Stegostoma tigrinum: one gene and its partner. The protein of the gene in region 2 interacts with the protein of the main gene of each other region in a pairwise test. Links are inferred from orthologs where the notes say so. Each region holds a gene or a part of one and is shown on either strand. Other genes may lie near its edges.

The links. The genes of interacting proteins can lie anywhere in the genome.
Region 1: the proteins of mcm3ap (region 2) and mcm3 interact in a two-hybrid assay, tested with the Homo sapiens proteins (2 studies listed by BioGRID). The link is inferred for Stegostoma tigrinum from reciprocal best matches to the Homo sapiens genes MCM3AP and MCM3.

What each region holds. Positions count from the first base shown.
Region 1 is NC_081362.1:96,838,736-96,845,668, reverse strand, and holds the start of mcm3 (DNA replication licensing factor MCM3), read right to left. Parts: upstream 3,059-6,933; 5' UTR 3,018-3,058; coding exon 2,949-3,017; intron 1,578-2,948; coding exon 1,465-1,577; intron 389-1,464; coding exon 180-388; intron 1-179. UniProt on the Homo sapiens protein: Acts as a component of the MCM2-7 complex (MCM complex) which is the replicative helicase essential for 'once per cell cycle' DNA replication initiation and elongation in eukaryotic cells.
Region 2 is NC_081360.1:6,017,192-6,024,991, forward strand, and holds the start of mcm3ap (germinal-center associated nuclear protein), read right to left. Parts: upstream 3,010-7,800; 5' UTR 2,812-3,009; coding exon 1,707-2,811; intron 1-1,706. Other genes in the region: endoribonuclease YbeY-like, read left to right, coding at 3,059-3,268, 7,785-7,800.

The sequences.
Region 1 (6,933 bases), on a different chromosome or scaffold from region 2:
AGTTTAAGATTACCACAGGTGAACAGTTCTCACAATACACCATTAAGTTACAAGCTGTCTATTAACAACCTCATTTTCCTCAATCAATGAGAACCAACTGCAAGGAGTGTTCGCCGAAGTCACGAACAAAACAAAATGCAAACACAGAGCAGCACCCAGTCTCACCCAATCAGACTCACATTTGATCACAATTCCCTCCACACACACAACGTTGCTGAGAAACCGAGAGGTCAAGGTCCGTGGGCTGACATGGTTGGATCCAAAGCTGCCTTCCAGTCCAATGTAGAAATCCTCAAATTGCTTGGCATAGGTGGCATCAATTGAGGCAACAAAGTCCTTTAGCGCTCGCTGGAAGGCCAGGAGTTCTTCAAAGGAATTGCTCAGCAGTCTGAGAAAATTAGACAAAGGTTAACTGGCTCAGTGTATCTGCAACAGGTTTTCAAATGTTAAAGATATACTACCTCAACCCCCAGTGGTGAGGGAAGTAAGGGTCAGTAACAAGAGATGACAGATTTAGAATGATAAAAGAACCAAGGGCACATGAGGAGGTTTCTTTTAAGAGAAAAGTGAGCTTTGACGTGGAATGCACTCAAAGGTGATGCCTACAGATTCAGTGATAGCTCCAAAAAGATATCTATTCAATGTTTGCAGGATGGTGGTGACAGAGCTGACTACTGTGGCTTAATGGATTGATCCTTTAAAGAGCAGGGGCTGAATTGTCTCCAGGGGTGCTGTACCTCTCTTGGAACAAGAGATTGGAACATCCATATCAATCCAACAACATACACTTCATGATCATTCCGCCACCTCGAGCACATTTAAAATATGTTTCAAACAGATGAGAAAGTTCCTCACTCAGGGGATTGAGTCTCTCTGGAGTTTGTTTTACTTCCCCCCTAACTATTCACAGGATGTGGACACTGCTGGTTTGGCCAACATTTATTGTCCATTTCTAAATGCCATGGAGAAAAGTGTCAGAAAGCTGCCCAAGAGAGCATGAACTGCTTTGTTATGTACTGAGATGGAGTAATGGAATATGAAACCCTGATAAGAAAAAGTGGCAGTTGATAATGAAAATCAATTATTATCGCACTGAACAGCAGAGCATGCTCAGGCACACTAAAGTCCTATTTAGCAAGATTTTTAACATCAGGCAAGAGCAGTATACAGTAAAGGGGGACTGTGGAAGTGAAGTGGGTTCAGGTTAGACAAGTGAGCAAGGTACTTGTTTCAGAGATAGTAGGAACAGCAGATGCTGGAGAATCTGAGATAACAAGGTGTAGAGCTGGATGAACACAGCAGGCCAAGCAGCATCAGAGGAGCAGGAAAGCCGATGTTTCGGGCCTAGACGCATTTCTGAAGAAGGGTGTAGGCCTGAAACATCAACTGTCCTGCTCCTCTGATGCTGCTTGACCTGCTGTGTCCATCCAGCTCCACACCTTGTTATCTGAGCAAGGTACTTACTGTGTCGCTCTTTTCTCATTCTTCCTGCGCAGGTCATTGATGTTGACAATCAGTCGGTACAAGTTGTCACTGATCATGTCCCTCACCTTACTTTGGTAAATCCCCTGGTCTTGCTGTTGGCAAGAATGCAAAAAACCTTAGCCCGAAATTCTTTCAACTGGTCCTTTACTCTTTAAAAGCTTATCAAAGCAACTGATTAAATCACCATCAGGGATATAACCATCTCTGATGTAGGTGACCGCTTTCAAGTTGGACTGATTTGGTTATGTCAGGGGCAGCTTCACCCAAGAACAGGTGCACAATTAATAAAATAAAAACAAAATGCTGTTGAACCGTGGCAGGTCTGGCAGCATCTTTGGAACCACTGTTTTTTTGAAATTCACTTGTAAGATATAGGCATTACTGGCCAGGCCAGCATTTACTGCCTGTCCCTAGTGGTCCTTGAGAAGGTGTTGGTGAGCTGCCCTCTTAAACTGCTGCAAATCACATGCTGTAGGTTCTCTTGAATAAGATATCAGACACAAAATGTTAATGCTGCCAGACCTGCTGAGTTTTTTCAACACTCTGTTTACATTTCTGGTCTCTTTGCATGTTGGTTTCAGCATGGTGACAGAATAACTCAGAATCTTTCTGAGGCTGGGATAGACAGCTACTTGATAAGCGAGGAGAGAAGAAGTGTTTATGCAGGTAGCCGGGAAAAAAAAGCAATCTGATCAGCATTGATGTTGCTGAAAGACAGAGCCAGATTGAGGGATTGAGTGGCCTCCTCTGCTCCTCGTTTGTGTGCACTCATGTATACTTCATTTCAAACATTCATTTTGAGTCAAATTATGAACCAAGGGAAGCAGGTGTCAGGTAAACACCGCTGGATGTTGCTTGGCAACTGGGAAGGGATACAGGAATAAAAATCAGAAGGCAGGAGCCCTGGATGAAGTGTCACCGGATTCAACGCATTAACTCTGCTTTCATCCCACGGATGTACTCAGCCTTTTGAGTTTCAAATTCGGTTTCTGTTCGTCTTAGATCTGCAGCAGCTGTACTTGTTTGTTTTACTTCAAGCTAGGAGACGGTCAAAAGGGTCACCTGAAGCACAACAGAAGTGAGTGGAGGGTTGTGAAATGGGGTGGGGGCGTGCAAGTGGAACGGCAAGTAGCGGGGGGAGGAGGGTGAGGTGGCGAGTGGAAGTGGGGGGGGCGATGAGGGTCGGGGAGGGGGGTGAAGGGGATGGTTTGTGTGGGGTATAAGGGAGGGGAAGTGGGCATGGGGGAGGGGCTGGGTAAGGGGAGTCGAAATGGGGGAGTGGTGTGCAAAGTGGGGTGGAAGGGTCAGGGTGAACAAGGCGGACGGGCCGAGTGGTCGCACCCTCCCGGGGAGGGGTATAGGAAACACATGCCCATGGAGTAGGGTAGGCACCCAGCCCAGTACCCCGCACCCCCCCCCAAACTCATCGCCGGCGTTGACCCCTATTCCCCCACAGCCCCCACCTCATCATCCAGAAAGTCCAGATATTGTCTCTGAGCCTCCCTCAGAGCCGGATCCTCCACCGCTGCCATTTTCACCGCCGCCGCTTTCCCGCCAAACTGAGTCACGTGGGACCGGCTTCCGCGCGAAAAACCCCGGACCAATCGGAGAATGCACCGCGGTCACATTGACACGCACTGCCCCGCCCCGTCACCGCCAGCCCAGGCCTCATGGACACAGACCCCGCCCGCTTCCAGGAGATAGGGTCCGCCCCCTTGGACGTAGGGTCCGCCTTATGGGCACTGAAGCCGAGACTGAACGCTTGGCCCCGCCCTTGGATACAGGGCCCGCCCCTTGGTCACTGTATCATGTCCCTTGTGCGACGGCCACGCCCCTGAACACTGGCTCCGCCCCCGACGTTGATCTCTCCTCCACGGCATTGGCCCGGCCCTGGCCATAGACCACGCCTCTGAGACGGACCCCGCCCCGGTCTCTGGTTCCGCCTATTTAAAGGGACTAACGCAACAAAGGATCCGAGTCTCCCTGTAATCAAATGCGATAGATGCTTTCAAAGTCAGAGTTAAAGGGTTGTAATGGTCAGGGGTTTCACGTTTCTAATAATAGACTAGGTCTGCCTTAGTCAGAAGTCACACGACACCAGGTTACAGCCCAATATGTTTAAGTGAAATCTCTTTTTTTATTGCAAAAAGCTACATTTTATTCATAAAGTTTGTATACATACACTGACACAAAAACAGTTCAGACAGAATGGGAACTGCAGACGCTGGAGAATCCAAGATAGCAAAGTGTGGAGCTGGATGAACGCAGCAGGCCAAACAGCATCTTAGGAGTTCTGCACAGCTGCATGTCAACAAAATACAAAACATTGGATAAAAATAGAACTACGGACGCTGTAAATCAGGAACAAAAAAAAAGTTGCTGGAAAAGTTCAGCAGGTCTGGCAGCATCTGTGAAGGACAAAACAGAGGTAACATTTTGCGTCTGGTAGGTCACTGGTGGCCTACTGGACCCAAACGTTAACTCTGTTTTCTCCTTCACAGATGTTGCCAGACCTACTGAGCTTCTCCAGCAACTTTGTTTTTGTTCCTGTACAAAACATTGCAGTTTGACTGTACGCAAATTCAAAGACTGCTCACACATACAATACCAATATTCACAAATATTTGGCACACTGGGAGGATCCATTAACTGAATGGACTCTCATTTATCTTCAGCAGGAAGACTTCAGACCATGCTCTTCCCCCACGACACTTTGACAGCAGCTTCCCCAAGCTTTAGTGTGCATCCCTCAGCACATAATCCTGGACCTTGGAATGTGCCAGTCTGCAACACTCGGTCAGGATCAACAAGGTCCGTGCGTACCTGTAGCCCAACGGGCCACTAAAAAATGGCAGTATTGGATAATACACCAAACATGCTGGGAAATCAAGCCAAGCATTGGCTGAAGCATCTGTGCAAAGATACTGAAATAAACAACCTATAGACGCAGACAGGCAGGCTGCAGCTGCAGGTGGTACAATTTGCAATTGATTAAGCCTATTTACCAGGACAATAGAAAATAATGAGCTGTTTCCAGAATAAAGGGACACCTCAGTCTGATATCTGGGAAGCCTACCTGATTTATGTACCCCTAACACTTTCAGAAATGGAAGACCAAAGGCCACACCACCATTTGCATGGTACTGTCTGATTGGGTCTGATCAATCAGGGTAATTGATTCTTGATTGATCCATTGCTGGGAATCAAAGATTCTCCCAAAAGGTTGCAGAGGCTTCCAAGGACAAGAATCACTGCAACAGCACCCTTGGGAGCAGTAACCTGAGACCAACTGCTGTAAGGGCACCTCTGCCCTTGGAATCACTGGAAGATGAAGACCAGATGCCCATCACCATGTGTATTAAAGCCAAGGTTTAGTGTGGTGATATTTGATCATTCCAAATTAAGTTAAATTACAAGATTCTGATTTAGATTTCCAGTATTACTTGCCAGATTTATTGTATTAATTGTTAGTTTGTAGCATAATTGTTATTATGGTATTATAGTTAATAAAGATCATTTCATGTCACTACTTAGAGTCCACTCACAGTCCTTTGTGGGATATATGGGCGAAACACCGTGTGGCGAGTGCAAAAAACCAAAGAGCAGCTTTCACTGAGTTGATGGTCCTTCAGGTACAGGTGATGTTTATTGCAGTGAGCATCCCAGGGAACAGATCTAGGACATTAATCCCCAAGTCTGTTTAAACGTGTCCAAATCCATTCAGGTTCTTCCCCCACCACATGTAACAGCCAGATTGTGGACATGATCTGTCCAAATTTGTCCAGAAGCCAGAATTGAGCTGTCCAAGTCCATCCAGATCCCAGACAAGCCCCCGAATTCTTATGGAGGGAGAATGGCTGATCTCTGCTGATATTTAGACCAAAACACAAGCCCCAATCAGTTATGATGGGAGTAGAGGTTCCCTTCTAATAATTACCCCCAAAACTCCCAGAGAAGCTCACCTTTCCCCTCATATTCTGTTAAAAGAGTGATTAAAAGAAAGAAAATCCCTGATCCACAAGAAAAAAAGTTATTTATTCAACTCTAACAATGAACAAATTAAGAGAAGTACTAACAAACTGAACGATTCCCCTCCCCCCAGACTAACTATTCCCTTAATAAACTAAATTCTAATAGAATGCTATTCAATAAACACAAGTCCCACTTATATAAACCCACTTAATAACGCAGTAATAAATTAAAACATAGTCTGTCCAAGTTTGTGTAAGCTGTGTCTTCTGGAACGCTCTGCCTTCCTGATTATGCCACAAATGTCTTTCGTGTGGACTTGTTGGGCCAAAGGGCCTGTTTCCACACTGAAGGGAATCTAATCTTTCACTGATTCTGCTGTCAGGGATGTTTTTCTCTGTAATTGCTTCTGTGAGTTTTTTTTTAGCTAGAAATGCCGTGGTACTGTTTTAGGATAGATGGTGCTTCATCTAATACATAGATGATTCTGACAATCAATTTCTCTCTCTCTCTTTCTCTCTCTCTCTCTCTCAAGTGGTCGATGCTGTCAACACCACCAGATTTAAATTTGACAATATTTTAGTATCTAAGGACTTAGTTTAAATTAATTGGCTAAATTTGAAAAGACTTGTTGTCTTGGTGAAATGCTGCTTGACAAACGTCTGAAAACTAACCTTCCAGCTCAGCGAGCAATCTCACATCCAGAACCTCAACCTGAGCTACAAATCTTCTCAAAACATGCTGCTTGACTGTTTAATACAAAATGTTTCAATTCGGAAGCTCTTTCTGTGTGCACCTCCACTTCAAGGTGCTTGTCAGTCATCCATTTTAACTCTAAGCACTGAAAAACAACAATCTTTTAAAAGAATGACACATTTTACAATTTTACTCACACCAACTTCACAACACTTTCAAGACATTTACCCAAAGATCAGAGGCTGAATGTCCTTGACTGCTAAAATATTCTGCCACTGGGAGGGAAGATTCCTGTCTGGCGATTGTTGCACAGTGTCCATTCATCTGTTATTGTACACTGAGGGGTGACCTTATAGAGTTTATAAAACCATTAGGGGCATGGATAGGGAGAATTACCAATGTCTTTTTCCTCAGAGTAAGGAAATCCAAAACTAGAGGCCATAAGTTTAAGGTGGGGGGGGGGGGGGGTAAGATTTAAAAGAGACCTGAGTGGCAACTTTTTCATACAGACAGTTGTGCATGTATGGAATAAGCTGCCAGAGGAGGTGGTGGAGCCTGGCACAATTACAATATTTCAAAGGCATCTGGATGGGTACATGAACAGGAAGGGTTTAGAGGGATGCGGGCTGAATTCAGGAAAGAGATAGAGTGCTTAACAGCATATGTAAAGACAACAATCTCTCCATCACCAGCAGCAAAATGAAGAAGCTGGTCATTGACTTCACAAAGTGGAATGGAGGACACAGACCTGTTTTCATCAGCGATGCTGAGGTAGCAATGTTC
Region 2 (7,800 bases):
CTTCATGATTGTAAATCTATTAACACTTCTCATTAGCCATCCAACCCACTTTCAACATATTCATACAACAGTGGAGAGAAAACAGAGTTAATGTTTTCAAGTCTAGTGACCCTTCTGCGGAAAAGTTCCTCACCTCTCTCCTCAAGGGACAATCCTTTGCTTCAAGATCATACTCTCCAATCTTGAATCTTCTATACAGACAAGCAACCTCTCAGCATCTACCATGTCAAGACCTCTAAGAATCTTTTATGTTTCAATCAGATCACCTCTCATCTTAACTCCAAATAAAGTTCCAACTGAATCAAGATCTCCTCCGTATGCGGTATCAGCTTAGTGAACCTTCCCTGGACTACTTCCAATGCCAGTATATCTTTCCTTAGATAAGCAGGGCAAAACTATTCCGTATTCCAGGTTTGGTCTGACACATGCTTTGCATAGTTTTAGTAAGACTTCCCTAGTTTTATACTTTATTCTCTTTGAATTAAAAGGCCAACGTTCTATATTGTTCTCCTATCATCTGAAATTGACTGCTACGTTCTTGTGATTAATTCACAAGGCCTCCCAAATCCTTTTGATCCATAGCTTTCTGCTGTCTTTCTTCATTAAAATGATATTATTAACCTCCTGTATTCCTGCTACAAAAATGCGCAAACTCACATTTCCCCATATTATATCCCATCTACCAAGTTTTTGCTCACTCACGTAACCTGACTGTATTAATCTAATATTTTTCCAACTAACAAATGTAAAGCTAATTCTCTAAAGTTACCATTTTTTGTCTCCTTCCCTTTTTGAATAAACATATTACAATGGCAGTTTGCTTTTCCAGCATTTCTTGATTCCTGGAAGACTGCTATCAGTGCTATAAGATGTCATAGATCATAAAATCACTACAGTGTGGAAGCAGGCTCTTCAGCCCAACAAGTCCACACCCACCCTTGAAGCAACCCACCCAGATCCATTTCCCTAAGCTGCACATCCCTGAGCACTACAGGCTATTTAGCATGGCCAATCCACCTAGCCTGCACACTTTCGGACTGTGGGAGGAAACCGGAGTACCCGGAGGAAACCCATGCAGACAGGGGGATAATGTGCAAACTCCACACAGACAGTCAGCCAAGGCTGGAATTGAGCCCGAGTCCCCGGCACCATGAGGCAGAAATGCTAGCCACTGAGCCACCATGCCATCCCACATTGTACTTCTTTTCTATCTTCCTTTTATTTCTGAATATTAGGTAATATTGGAATGCTGTTTATGTCTTTTGCCCTGAAGACTGATGGAAAGTATTTATTCAATTTATTTGTCGTTTCCTGATTTCCTATTAATATTTCCACAGTCTGAACTCTCTAAGGGGGCCTATGTTCATATAGAAGCTTATTTTGTGGTCATGCCTTAAGCTCCTAAATTCAGCTGATACTGCACTGTACTGCTCTGCTGAGCTCCAGCTGCATTGTAAATGAGACACTAAAAGACATGCCCATTTTGGTTTGTGGTTTGAGGAGAGGCAGGGCGGAAATAGCAAAGAATTTCTATCCCAGAAATTTCTAAGAACACAGTTCCACTTCGCGCCATTTTGAATTTTGCTCCAACTGAAGTAGCTTCACTGAATCAAAACAGGAAAGATCTTACAATCGAAAGAAAATCCATTTGTACAAGGAAATGTCTTTATCTCAAAAATGACATCTCCCCACACATTTCTACTCACCATCTCTAACTCTCTTCTTTGGTTCTTCTTTTCTCAATCGCGCAGGCCACTCTAAAGGGATGCTTGTCTCAGACAGCAGCTTTAACTTTTCAATCGTTTCACTTTCTGAAGATGTGCTGACTCTTTTAGACTCCCTCCTACTGCCCTTCAACACATCTTGAAGAGTGCGACTGAAGACGCCCAGTGATGGCGTAACTTTCGACAGCCGTTTCCTTGGAGACGGACTGTGTTTGGGCACTGAGGCTGGTTCTTTACCAGGACTGTATTCAAACTGGTATGGTGATCTGTCTCGCTTGTCTTTCCTTTTCATCCCCTTCCTGGGCGTCAGCTGTCCCGCCTGCCCCTCGTGCTTCGAAGTGAGCCCAAACGTTGCTGGGGTTGCAGTGGCTGCCGTTGCACTGCGTCTCCCTTCACGACAGCCCTGCGGTGTTGTATCAGTCCCTCCGAAGCTTGGCTTCAGAGTTTGTTTTTCTTCGCAAGCTACTTTCTTGTTGGATGCAGAGTGACCGAGCGAGGGGGACGAGCTCGGTTGAGAAAAGGTGTATGGGGTTGAGCTGCTGCCGGGGCTGGGATGGACGAAACGGAAACCTCCGGAAGCACTGGTCATAGCCGCCGGCTGCGAAAAGCTAAAGGTGCTGGGCAAACTGACAGTGGCCGTCGGCCGGAGCATCCTGTAGAGGCCAGAAGAAGTCCCACTGTTGGTCGGTTGGGAGAAGCTGAAGGAGGGGCCGCCTACGGACTGTGGAGCGGTGAGGAGGGCCGTTTCCCCGCTGCTCAGCGGCTGCGAGAAGTGAAACGAGGGCCGCTTGTTGGACGGCAGTTTGTTGTCTAGCCCTCCAACCCGCGGCCTTGGGGCGTCCGGCTTCCCAAACCCTCGGAAGCAGCTCTCGGCCGGTCCAAACGCGGGGCCCATCGGGGCGCCGAAGTTTACAGAAGCCGGAAAGGTGCCGTGAGGTTTAAAGCTAAAGGAGGGACCAAGGATGGATGGAGCCCGTGGACCTCCCACCTCCCCCGCCTTGGAGAAAGGAGCATCCTGCTGGCCCTGAAAACCGCTGTCCCCTTTCTGGAAGAAGGGGGGAGGGGGAAAGTTGCCCGCGGGATCCATGGCACCACCCTCAGTGAATCAGCTCTTCTAAGTGCGCCTGGCTTCAAACATCAAACACGAAACCCCAGATCCCAGCAATGAAACTCACTACACCGCCACCATTACCGCTCAGCATAAACACCGTCCGTTTCCTCTTCCTTCCCTTCCGGTCACCTTCCCCGGAACAAAAAAAAATGCAGGTGCAGCTATTTCTCGTCTTCCTTTCCGGTCCGACTGATTCAGGTTGCCATGGAGAATCCAGGCCCAGATGGCGCTGGTGATCAGGAACGCACAGAAAGTGGTGCAGCTTCGTAGGGCCCGGCTCCGGCGGGACACTCAAACCTTGCTCCACATTCTGGGCCTCGCACGATTCGACCTGGGTCTGATCTGTGTGGACGACCAGCGGATACAGACCTTGAACGGGCGGTACCGGGGGCAGGAGGTGGCTACGGATGTACTGTCCTTTCCTGTCCATCAGGTAACGGGTACTGGGATGTGGGCTCCTCTCCCTGTCCTGATCCCGCGAACTCCAAACTGTCAGTTGGATCCCACAACCAAGCCCGAGGGAGATCTCTTTAGGAGAAAGGCCAGCCACGTGGAAGGTTCAATCTCTCTCTTCTATCCTCCTTCCCCAAAACAGAGACTGCCTGACCAACTCCAGCATTCTCTCTGAATGGAAAACTGTGTCTTTGTCCTCGGGGTGCACTGTCTGAACTTGATCACTGTGTCTATATTATATGTAGCACTGAGTACTGTTTAAACTGAATTGAAATTGATGGAAGCATTCATGTTTTAAAATACTTCCAAATTTCAACTGTTTCAACTACGTGTGGACAGTATGTTTTGTAAAAAGAATGTATTATCCCAGTTTTTAAGATACTCAGATAAGTTTAAGATGAGGTGAATGGTTGCTAAATTTCCTGATAACACCAAAATAGGGAATAAAAAGTTGTGAACCTCATAATCGGCCGTAAAAGGACGTAGACAGGTTATCAGAGTGGACAAAAATAGCAGATGACATCTAATGTGAGATAAAGTGAATGTATTCACTTTGGTAAGCAGTAGAGAAAAACAGCATCCTATTTAAATGTATTAAAGATTGCAGAGCTCTGAGGTACAGAGCAATCCAGGTATCTTAGTACATGAATTCCAAACGTTGGTACGTGGTATGGTAAATGACTGGGAAGGCAAATGGAATGTTGTCATTTATTGCAAGCAGGATGGAACATATAAAAGTTGGGACCTTTTTATTAAAGTTATGCAAGGCATTGTGAGAGACCACATGAGATAGGAGTGTTAACCTCTAGTAAGAAATCCTGCAAAATTGCTGGAAACAAGAGTTTAGAGAACTTGTATGTTTGTTAAAATAATAGTGAATTTAGTTTGCAGTTTGTTTCAGGTGTCTTGGGGAGAGATACCTACTGAAGAAATAGCATTTAGTTAATGCACTGAAATTTGGCAGAAGGAAACTGAATGTGTCAGCCTTATCAAGAGACTTGGATGTAAAGACAGTAATAAGTCTGAGTGTCCTAATGCAGCTTTGTTTGTGGACAAACGCAACATATTAGAAGAGGTCTGCCACCTCATCAACAGAGTGTTTACAGGGATTAAATTCACAAAGGAAGAAAAAGCAAACAATCAACTTCCATTTCTGAATGTTAAGGTAGAACGACCGACAAATGCGGAGTTCCAAACCTCAGTATACAGAAAAGCAACCCATACAGATCAAATCCTCAACTATCACAGCAACCACCCCAATGTCCACAAATAAAGCTGCATTAGGACACAGTTTAAATGGATCAGGATACAGTGTAACACTCCAAAACTATGCCCGGAAGAAGAAGAACACTTATACAAGATCCTCGCTTCAAATGAATTGTCCCTGCAACTTCAGCCACAGATGCCTACATAACTGACAGCAACAGGAGAACACAGTATGACCTAACACACTTACCACACTTTCCTAAATCAGAAACATATCGGAACTGACAACAAGACTCCTAAGACCACTAGGAATCATGGTGGCCCACAGCCACTCTCCGACACTTAGAAGAATTAAAGACCCCATTCCCACAACCTACAGAACAAACATGGTTTACAAAATACCATGCAATGACTGCCACAAACATTACATAGGACAGACAGGAAGGAAACCAGCCATCAGAACACACAAACATCAGCTGGCAGAAAAACAGCACAATAAACTCTCCTTAATGTCTGTACATGCAGACAACGAAGGCCATCAGTTGAAGTGGGCATGCACGGGAATTCCTAGATGCATGGTCCTCCGCCCATACTTCAATCAACAAGTGTATAGAATTGGACCCCATATATAAACCCGTACAGATCAAAACCAGAAATGACAGTACTCACCATAATGGACCAGATAGTATAAATTTCAAGCAGAGTAGAATAACAGCGCTTCATTGGAGTCTCCACTGATGATGTCACCCAGCATGGTGACAAAACATCAGAACAAAAACAAACCAGCTCGACAAGCAAGTCAACAACCTCATAAAAAGAAACTAGTGTGAGCTTGAATCCTTTTCAGTATATGGAATGAAATCATTCCAAACTTCTTTTTTATATATTTTAGTTTGTGTTTTTTCTTGTTTTAATAAACCTTTTATTCTTTGTGTTAAGACTACAGTTGCAAATTGTTATCACTGTTCAGCAACTGACATCCACAAATTAAAAATACATGTTGGACCGGTTAAGCTCTGGGATCTGACTTGTCCAATATTAACATCAGCTGGGACCATAACAATACAATTTCATTCATTCTAGAATGGAGGGGTTGTCTTTGAGAAAGAGTTTGACCATTCTGGGCCTGTATCTATTGGAGTTTTGAGGAATTAGAGGTGATTTTGTTGAAATATATAAGATCCAAAGGAGGTTTGACAAGTAGATTCTACAACAGTGTTTCTGTTTGTGGGAGAGACTACAGCTAGGAGACAGTTTTAAAACAAGGTTCTCCCCTTTATTTGATTTATTTATTTATTGTCTTGTTTTTTGTTACAGAATACAATGAAAAGTGTCATATAGTATCATCATTAGGACAGGTGGGGAGAATGGTTTTCCCTTAGGGTCATAGTTTGAAATTACCTTTCCAAAAGACCAGTAGGATCAGGATTATTGAATATTTGTAAGGCAGAGATAGATTCTGGACTGAAGAGCGAGTCAAAAGGTTACCTAATTAAAAACTCCCTATATCACTTCTGTTATGAGGTTGGTTAGCTCGCCGAGCTGGTTTGTTGTTCCACAGACATTTTGTTACCCTGCTGGGTAACATCCTCAGTGCAGCCTCTGATGAAGCGTAGGTGTGTTTTCCCACCTGGTTTTTAAACTCTGGGGTCCGTTGCGAGCAACAGATCTACTCCAAAACCTTAGATATTTCTGTTTACTAGCTAATCAAGCTGTTGGGATGAATCATGAGTTTTGGAACCTTTTAGCCAGTATTGTTTGGTCTGCTGTTAATTTAGGTTCATTATTGCTGCAAAAAGGGAGTTTCGGATAGTGTAAATTAGGCAATTTCAGAAAGATGACGCGAGAACCTTTCACATTGTTTCAAACAAATTTAATATAATTTGAATTGAGAGGTAGATTAGCTTTCCACTTCAGGTTCTCAGTGAAGTAATCACCCATGACTTCCACCCGTCCAGGCAAATGGAGAGTACTCCATTACACTCCTGACTTGTGCTTTGGGAGATGGAGAACATATAGAACATAGAAAAGTACAGCACAGTACAGGCCCTTTGGCCCACGATGTTGTGCCGTGGAATAATCCTAATCCAAAAATAAAATAACCTAACCTACATTCCCCTCAATTCACTGCTGTCCATGTGCATGTCCAGCAGTCGCTTAAATGTCACTAATGACTCTGCTTCCACGACTACCACTGGTAAACTATTCCATGCGCTCACAACTCTCTGGGTGAAGAACCTCCTTCTGACATCTCCTCTATACCTTCCTCCTAACACCTTAAAACTATGACCCCTCGTGGCAGTCAATCCTGCCCTGGGGAAAAGTCTCTGACTATCGACTCTGTCCATGCCTCTCGTTACCTTGTACACCTCGATCAAGGGAGCTATGCACTTGAACACCAAGATCCCGCTGTTCCTCCACACTGCTGAGAATCCTGCCTTTAATCCTATATTCAGCATTTAAGTTCGACCTTCCAAAATTCATCACTTGGCATTTATCCAGGTTGAACTCCATCTGCCATTTCTCAGCCCAGCTCTGCATTCTGTCAATGTCTTGCTAAAGCCTGCAATAGCTCTCGATACTATCAACGGCACCTCCAACCTTTGTGCCATCAGCAAACATACTAACCCACCCTTCAACCTCCTCATCCAAGTCATTTATAAAAACTACAAAGAGCAGAGGCCCAAGAACAGAGCCCTGTGGGACACCACTCAGCACTGACCTCCAGGCAGAATACTTACCACCTAAAACCACTCTCTGCCTCCTGTCAGCCAACCAATTCTGAATCCAGACAGCCAAATCACCCTGTATCCCATAGCTCCTGACTTTATGAATGAAGTGGTATGAAGATATTGGGAGTCAAGAGGCAAATTACTTGCTGCAGAATACTTGGCCTTTACGTTGCTGTGTGGCTTTTGTATTAGTGTAGATGGTCCTGTTCAGTTTCTGGTCAATAGCAACCTCCAGGATGTTGATTGTTGGGTATTCAATGATAGTAATACATTGAATGTAAAAAAAGAGATGGTTCTTTCTTGTTGGAGATGGACAATACCTGAAACTTGTGTGGCATGAATGTTACTTTCCATGACAAAACCAACGTCTGCTTGTTGTCTTGATCTTGTTACACATGGACATAGATTATTTTATAATTATGGAGGAATTATGAACACTGCAATCATCAACAAATAGCTCCATTTCTGACCTTACCATAGAGTGAAACTCATAGATGAAGGTCCTGTGAGTAATTAATTATATAGTCAGATGGACGAACCATTTTATCTTTCTTTCAGGATTTGAGAGCAGGGG